Linked DNA regions of Drosophila melanogaster. The protein of the gene in region 1 purifies or fractionates together with the protein of each later gene. This does not show direct contact. Each region holds a gene or a part of one and is shown on either strand. Other genes may lie near its edges.

The links. The genes of interacting proteins can lie anywhere in the genome.
Region 2: the proteins of sun (region 1) and ATPsyngamma purify together in Drosophila melanogaster (affinity purification with mass spectrometry, with the first as the bait; one large-scale study listed by BioGRID). This does not show direct contact.

What each region holds. Positions count from the first base shown.
Region 1 is NC_004354.4:15,847,158-15,850,975, reverse strand, and holds sun (stunted), read left to right. Parts: upstream 1-1,717; 5' UTR 1,718-1,811; coding exon 1,812-1,840; intron 1,841-1,959; coding exon 1,960-2,090; intron 2,091-2,628; coding exon of another isoform or gene 2,629-2,642; exon of another isoform or gene 2,643-2,678; intron 2,679-2,971; coding exon 2,972-2,997; 3' UTR 2,998-3,117; downstream 3,118-3,818. Other genes in the region: UBL3 (ubiquitin like 3), read left to right, coding at 266-430, 548-612; CG8578 (uncharacterized protein), read right to left, coding at 3,663-3,773. UniProt on the Drosophila melanogaster protein: Activates the G-protein coupled receptor mth in vitro, leading to increased intracellular calcium ion levels.
Region 2 is NT_033777.3:29,746,912-29,750,876, reverse strand, and holds ATPsyngamma (ATP synthase, gamma subunit), read left to right. Parts: upstream 1-1,713; 5' UTR 1,714-2,053; exon of another isoform or gene 2,054-2,107; 5' UTR 2,108-2,129; coding exon 2,130-3,023; 3' UTR 3,024-3,162; downstream 3,163-3,965. Other genes in the region: yata, read right to left, coding at 1-365, 426-649, 709-1,086; IntS11 (integrator 11), read right to left, coding at 3,480-3,965. UniProt on the Drosophila melanogaster protein: Mitochondrial membrane ATP synthase (F(1)F(0) ATP synthase or Complex V) produces ATP from ADP in the presence of a proton gradient across the membrane which is generated by electron transport complexes of the respiratory chain.

The DNA of each region.
Region 1 (3,818 bases):
CATGCTATTGACCCTTTCGCGTGAACTGCATTTATTTTGAGAACGCTTTAATCATAGTCACAAGGATACAAGGATACAACCCACGAAATATTTAATATTTATGGCATCTATTGGATATTTCAAATAAATGCGACTTTTGAAGTTTGTTTAAATATTGTCAGCTTGTTGGCCTCTAAAATCAATTCTTTCTTAGTTGTTTTGCTTTTAGAGTTAGACTTTTGATGCGAAAACCCATGTAATACATTATTGTGCATATATCTTGCAGATTGGACCCACGAAACTGTGTCGAAAGCCGAAATCTTGCGCTTAATTTATCAAGGTCGTTTTCTTCATTGCAATGTAACCTTAGGAGCACTGGGACTTCCATTAGGCAAAACGACTGTTATGCATTTAGTGCCACGTGATAATTTGCCAGAGCCCAATTCACAAGGTAGGTTTTCAAAAAAAAAAAAAAAAAAGAAATATGGTTTCAATTATAAAGAGCTGCTCAAATTTAAATTCGCAATGCATACGAAAAACATCTTACTGAATTTTCCTCCTCTTTTAGATCAAAGACAAAATAGTAAAGGCGGTTCTGGACGATGCTGTTCGACAAATTGCTCTATTTTGTAACTAAATTATTATATAATAGCGTAATATTTAAACTAATTTGCATTAAAAGAAAAAAGAAAAAAAAAAAAACACCCACAACCGAAATAAAAACAAATATGAATGTATAAATTACATTTTTGTGCAGTCAGAAGTATATTTATTAAACTATAATAATGTATGTCTGGATCAACAAGGCGCTTTGTTTCAACTATTAATGTACATACAATATATATTTTATATATATACCACACAGGAATTCATGAGCATGTGCAAAATGCGTATACTCTGTATTAAAGTTGCTAGACTGCATATTTATAACATGTAATATACGAATACAATGCTAATTGCTTTTAGAAACCGGACTTGTTAACCTAATTAGAGAATGGGTAATTACAACACTTATTTCAAATATGTCGAAAATATTGAAAACTAATTATGTGCAAGAATAAGTAATTTTCCCATTGCGTTCTGCTTTTAAGTGTGCGTCTACCGAAAAACTAAATAAAATCAGCAATTACTTGTCAGATCGATTCTTTAATGCGTTAAAGAATATTAAAGAAATTTTTGTTCTGTATATATACACATTTAATTAGAACTTAAGTGTTTTCTTCTGTTAAGTTTTAAAATATTATCTGTAAAGTCTAACTTAAAGTCAATGATAAATAAATAATCTAATATATCCTTAGCTTATCCTATTTTGGGTGCATTGGTGGTTATTTGATTAATTAGCCTAGAACTAAAAACAAATTTCAAGGAAAATTGGGGAATATTTTTTTTAAGTTGATGGTTTAATGTAACAATTTTTCTTGAAATGCTTTATGCAAGGCACGTTAAACAATGTCTGCTTAATTATTTGTGTAGGCATGAATAAGTAACAAGCTTCGTTCTTTCGAATAAAACAGTTTGGCATATCCATATTTATTAGGGTTTTTCCCAAAGGAAGAAAAATAAGTAAATTAGATTTTTAAATATTGAAAAGTTTGAGTTTGGATATCGATAACAAATGTTACTAACAGTGTGTATGTTCAATAACAGAAGTCACAGTCGTCGTCGCTATCTTGACGCGCGTAAGCTAGTATTTAAGGTATATGTGCGACAATCGACGGTATATTTCTGACTTAACTCTCAAAAACTAGTTGGCCACACTGACCGGATTCAGAAAGGGAATATCTTATATATTTTTTGTGTAGCGTGAATATATTTCGAATAAACCGATCACAATGACTGCCTGGAGAGCTGCCGGAATTACGTAAGCATTGTATAAGTGCCTGCCACACCAGCTGTGTTGTGGCAGCATTCTCATGCAAATAAAAACGCCTTTGCTGCCCGATTACATAACATAATTAATCCAAATATTACCGATTGCAGCTACATCCAATACTCCAACATCGCCGCTCGCATTTTGCGCGAGTCCTTGAAGACGGGACTGCGTGCGGATGCCGCCAAGCGCGACGCGAGCCATGTGAAGTTCACTCCCTGGGCAAATGGCAAGCCAGCTCGTACGTATCATAATACTTTAGACGGCCAAATAGCAGCCATTATATAAATTAACTCCGGATAATTCGAAATCCAAGGGGAAACCGTTATCAATGTGTTATTAGGAATGTTTCGAAGTCATCCACAAGTGGTTTCCACACGGTATTCTACCCAAAAGTTTCGGAAAAAAGCCCCGTTTCGAAATGGCAATGTGAAAAATACCGAAAAATGAACGGTTCACTCGTGTTCCCACTTTACTCCGAAAATGTTGCCAATTTACAGGCGTAATATCGCGTGTAAAAACTGTTCCCATCTATAGATATTCGTATATTATTGCATATATCATATATATTTGCAATCTGTTTAAATCCTGATCATCAACATTGAAGCGTTCATACTCATCCAAACCATTTCTAAAACTTTAATTTCAAAATTTTCGTAACTTATTGGAATATCGAAACAAAATTAGGCAAAATTGCTTACCATTCCTTCAAGACAAACGCTCCATAAAGTAATAGAATTTATGTTTCATATTGCGTCATATTTGAATATATTTTTCAGATGAAAGGGCTTAGGTGTTCCATCGTCAAATTAATAATTTAAAAACTGGCGTAAGTGCCTGCCGCGGCAGACAAAACCCAAATTATCCCAGCGTTCGCATTAAACTCAACGACAGTTTATGTATCTAACTTTGTTCCCAAAGTTTCTAACTACGCTTACAAGCTGATCTGCATGCAAATGCGATGTGTTTACATATAATATAATGTTTATATTAATATACATATATATATCCCAAAATTGCCCGCCCCAAAAGTTTACAAGCGACCAACTATTAACTATTTCTTTGTGATGAAAAACTATTATCCAAAGCAAATGCTGATTATTGCCATTTTTCTGTCCGCAGAGCGTCAAACCCAATCGGAATCCTAGATGCTTTTCAGTGGCCACTCGAGAATGATTCGCAACAACTAAGATCCGCCGAAGCTGCAATGTTGTAAAATCATGAAAAATAAATAAAATTAAATAAATGTAATTTATTTAAACACGATGATTTTAATTGTTCTTAAATGTGGCATTTATTTGGGCGTTCCGTTTAGAGATCGCGACCGATGAAACGGACTTCTAGCAAAGATTTAAATATAGACTCAATAGAATATTGTAATTTTGAAAAGAACTATTGGTCAGGTTCACCAGAAGCCTTTTAATTGGGATCAGTGATAGGTTTCTTGCTATAATTTTGTCAACGCATATTTGTATAGAATGATTTTATACACATAATGCTGAACCAATTGAATTGTTACTTATATTTTGCGCTTTAAATATACACATATAGACATTATTTATGTTAATTATTATCCAGTTAGTTTATATTTTAATTTAAATATATATATATATATATTTTTAAGGTAGAGTATTTTGGATTATCCTTCAAAAATTATCGATTTGCTACCACTAAGACCGATTAAATTGCTACCGAAGTGCTATTTCAATTGCAGCATGTTGATTTGTGTGTTGATGATGTCGTGTACTTGCGTTTCCTATGTCATCGGGTGCGATCCTTCAATGGTTGGCGAGATTGCATTTCCCATCTTAGATCATAAGTCCTTTAGAATGGCACTCTTTGCGTTTTTCAACTTATCGAGGCGTTTCAACAAATGGTTGTTGGACGTTTCAGCTTCCTCCAACTTCTCCAAGAGTTCCCGGTGCTGCGAAATGGATTAGCTAGATCATAAACTGCTCATTTCGCTTGG
Region 2 (3,965 bases), on another chromosome or scaffold:
ACTCGTAGGCTGTTATCAGCTGTGGAAGAATCTTATGCCTGCACACGTTGTCCGGAAAGTTGTCGAGATGCGTGGTCAGACCACTGAAGAAGCGATTCTTCTCCGCCTTGTCCTTGATTTGGATCTCCTCTAGGAAGAGCAGTGTGTCCACCAAATCGTTTTTGAAAAAGCCTCCAGGCTTGCGGCAACGTGTGATTATATCCGCCGGGTTGGGACGATTCGAAGGCGAGGCGCCAACCAGCTCACAATAGAGCGATTGCAGGGACTTGGGTATGTGTTCTATATCCTTGAGGTTGGAGCGTTGCTTGAGCACACCGTTGAAAGCTTCCCACACGAGGCAGCCCAGGCCCCACATGTCCACGGAGCTGGTAGAGAATCCGATTTGAAGGATTATTAAAATAGTCTAAGGTGAGAGGATTACGTACCATTTGGTGGCCGCCTTGAGCTTGCTCGGATCGTTCTTTTCGGGGGAATCGTAGACCTCCAGGGTCACAGGTATTTTGGCGGGCGGCATGGGATTACCATCCGCCGCTGAGACGTACTCCAGGCTGCCCAGTTTCCATTCGCCGGAGGCATTGACAAACACCGACCAGGCGGAAACATTGTTGTGTCGCAGATTGCCATCGTTGTTGAGAAAGGACAGGGCGCGCTGAAAGGGATTGGTGACTTGGTTAGCTAGGGCAAAATATCAGGGATATGGATACCCACAGTGATCTGGAAGATGCCCCAGGCCAGGTAGAGGCCCTTTTGGACATTGTCGCTGCCCAGCTTGGAAAAGTAAGTGCCCAGCGGATCCACCGCCTCGGTGGCCACGTACAACATCTTGTCCGTTTCCAGCGAGTCCAGATACTGCAGGATGCTGGGGTGACGCAATGTCTTGAGGCGCTTCAGCGCCGCCTTGGCCAGCTCGCACTTGGTGTCGGATCCGCTACGGATGTCGTAGACGAACACAGACACCTCCTCCAGCGTCGTCTTGCGCTTGGCCTTGTGCAGCGTCCATATGGAGTATTGGTCAAAGCCGCCCACCGGTTCGCCAATGTCGTAGGGGAAGTCTTTCGAGGAGTCGCGCGAGAAGAACGACCACATTATGTGTTTTGCTCGGCGGCTCAATATTTTGTTACTGTTGTGTCACACAGCAACAGCAACAACAACAGCAACAACTGGCGATTGCAACTGCAACAACAACGCACTGCGCAGGCAACACACGCACGCACACACGCACGCACGCACTCACACACACGCACACCTTGTTGCTGCCACACAAAGGCACTGAAATCGGTGGAGCCCCGATTCTCGGTTTATCCTCAAGCACTATGCCTCTGTCTTTAGCCTTGGCTTGAGCCCTATCCTCCTCATGCCAATCCAGCCGCCTGATGTCCTTTATTTTCCTCCGATGCGCAGCAACAATTTTCCAGCTTTGCTTACGCACACACACACGCACACAGCTAACTTATCCGCTGTTTTTCGTCCCCAGAGGTCTCATCCCTGGGATCCCGGGTGTCCTGGACAGGGCGATCGTGTCTATGTGGCTCTGCTGCGGGTCGGGGGAGTCAGTAGATCGGATCGGGCGCTCGTCTCCGTCGAATTATCCTAATCTTTTTCCCGAGTACGTCAGCTTTTTTTTGCGTGAGGCGTTAGTGACGGAACTTCGTGGCTCGTGCGTGAGCAGCTGATTCCAAAACAGAGCTGGCAAGGAGAAGGAAAACTCTGGTCGAGGGTAGAAAACAAGCTGGCATCTTTGGCAAACCTCTTAATCCTTATCAATTATTATTCTGTTTTTAACTCTATTGTCATAATTATGAGTTACATAAATTCAAATTAATTTCAAGCTTTATTGTGCATTCTGAAGCTTTCCAAAGAAGTTTTGTATTTTATCCAATATTAATAGTTATATGTAGCACAAATCCATTATCCGAAATTTCCATAATTAAAATAAATTATTTAATATAATATTTTACCGTTCACCACGAATCGCCACCGCGTTAACCCGAACTGGGTGGCAACTCTGCTCGGTGTTATAACACTCGTTGTGGCGCAGCCAACTTAACGCAAGGTAGGTGAATTTTCTCAATTTTTGCCGAGTGAATCGAGCTAATTTTCGCGACAGGGAATCTTCGACAACTCACAGGATGATGATGCAACGCACCCAGCTCCTGCTGCCCCTGGCCATGGAGGCCACCATGCTGGCCCAGCAGCAGCGTGGCATGGCCACCCTGAAGATGATTTCCATCCGCCTGAAGTCGGTGAAGAACATTCAGAAAATTACGCAATCGATGAAGATGGTGTCCGCTGCCAAGTACGCTCGTGCCGAGCGAGACTTGAAGGCGGCTCGTCCTTACGGCATCGGCGCCCAGCAGTTCTTCGAGAAGACGGAGATCCAGCCGGACGAGAAGGCGGAGCCCAAGAAGCTGCTCATCGCAGTGACTTCGGACCGTGGTCTTTGCGGTGCCGTCCACACTGGTGTGGCCCGTCTCATTCGCGGCGAACTGGCCCAGGACGAGGCCAACACTAAGGTGTTCTGCGTGGGCGACAAGTCGCGCGCGATTCTGTCCCGTCTGTACGGCAAGAACATCCTGATGGTGGCCAACGAGGTGGGCCGACTGCCCCCCACTTTCCTGGACGCCTCGAAGATTGCCAACGAGGTTCTGCAGACCGGTTACGATTACACCGAGGGCAAGATCGTGTACAACCGTTTCAAGTCGGTGGTGTCCTACCAGTGCTCCACCCTCCCCATCTTCAGCGGATCCACCGTGGAGAAGTCGGAGAAGCTGGCCGTCTACGACTCGCTCGACAGCGACGTGGTCAAGAGCTATCTGGAGTTCTCGCTGGCCTCGCTCATCTTCTACACCATGAAGGAGGGCGCCTGCTCGGAGCAGTCCTCCCGTATGACTGCCATGGACAACGCTTCCAAGAACGCCGGTGAGATGATCGACAAGCTGACCCTCACCTTCAACCGTACCCGACAGGCGGTCATCACTCGCGAGCTGATTGAAATCATCTCCGGTGCCGCCGCCCTCACATAAGCGAATGGAATGTGTTCGAACAGCTCTAACGATTCATACAGCTAATTGCATATGGTGCCAGGCACCTGGAGCTACGCCTGGAGCCCTAGTAATGTTACTCTTTCAGAAAAACCCCAGAATAAATAGCGTGGAACGAACGAAAATAACTTTAACCATGGAGTCCTTACCTAATTGGAGTGGGAGGCAAGGAATTTGAAAGCACTTGCACAGGTCTGTTTGGTTTTTACACATTGATATCATGGGATTCGATTGCATTCTTATGCAAAGACCCATTGATATAACTTAATGTGCATAAAGTCTCAAATTTCAAGTGGCAATGACTAATGACCAAAAAACTATTGGAACGTTTATGTATATTTTGATACTCTTTAAACTTTCAGAAATTGGTGGTATCTACACTTTGTGCTTATCTATGGAATTAAGGCGTGGGATTTCAATGGGATGCTTCTTCGTTGCCTAGCACATATTCTGCAGCACATTCAGTATGTAGGCTCCAATGTCCTCGTCCTGGTTGGTCCACGATATCAAAATGTTCTTCTGCTTGGGATCCTTCTCGTCCTCCTCCACCTTCACCTCAACGGATTCGATGGCTATGGAGCCGTTCTCCTGCATCGTCACCGTCCAGCCGGCTAGCTTTTCTTCGAGCAGAGTCTTCAGTCTTTCGCTTGTGCGAATGACCGGTCCGGAGTCGTCCATTTTGACCTTGGATGTAAATCGCATAACATGTCGATTAATTCCGATTTCCTTCAGGGCATCGGTTAGGTTTTGCAGCATTATTCGATTGTCCTTCATTACGAGGACGCCATGGATTAGTCGCCGCCTCTTGGGATCCGGTGGCTGGGCGTTGTAGGACCGGGCCTCTGCTTTAAGCAGGGAAACGGACGCATCTACTGGTATCTTCACAGGCGTAGAAATCACACAGGTTTCGCCGTTGGCCGGCAT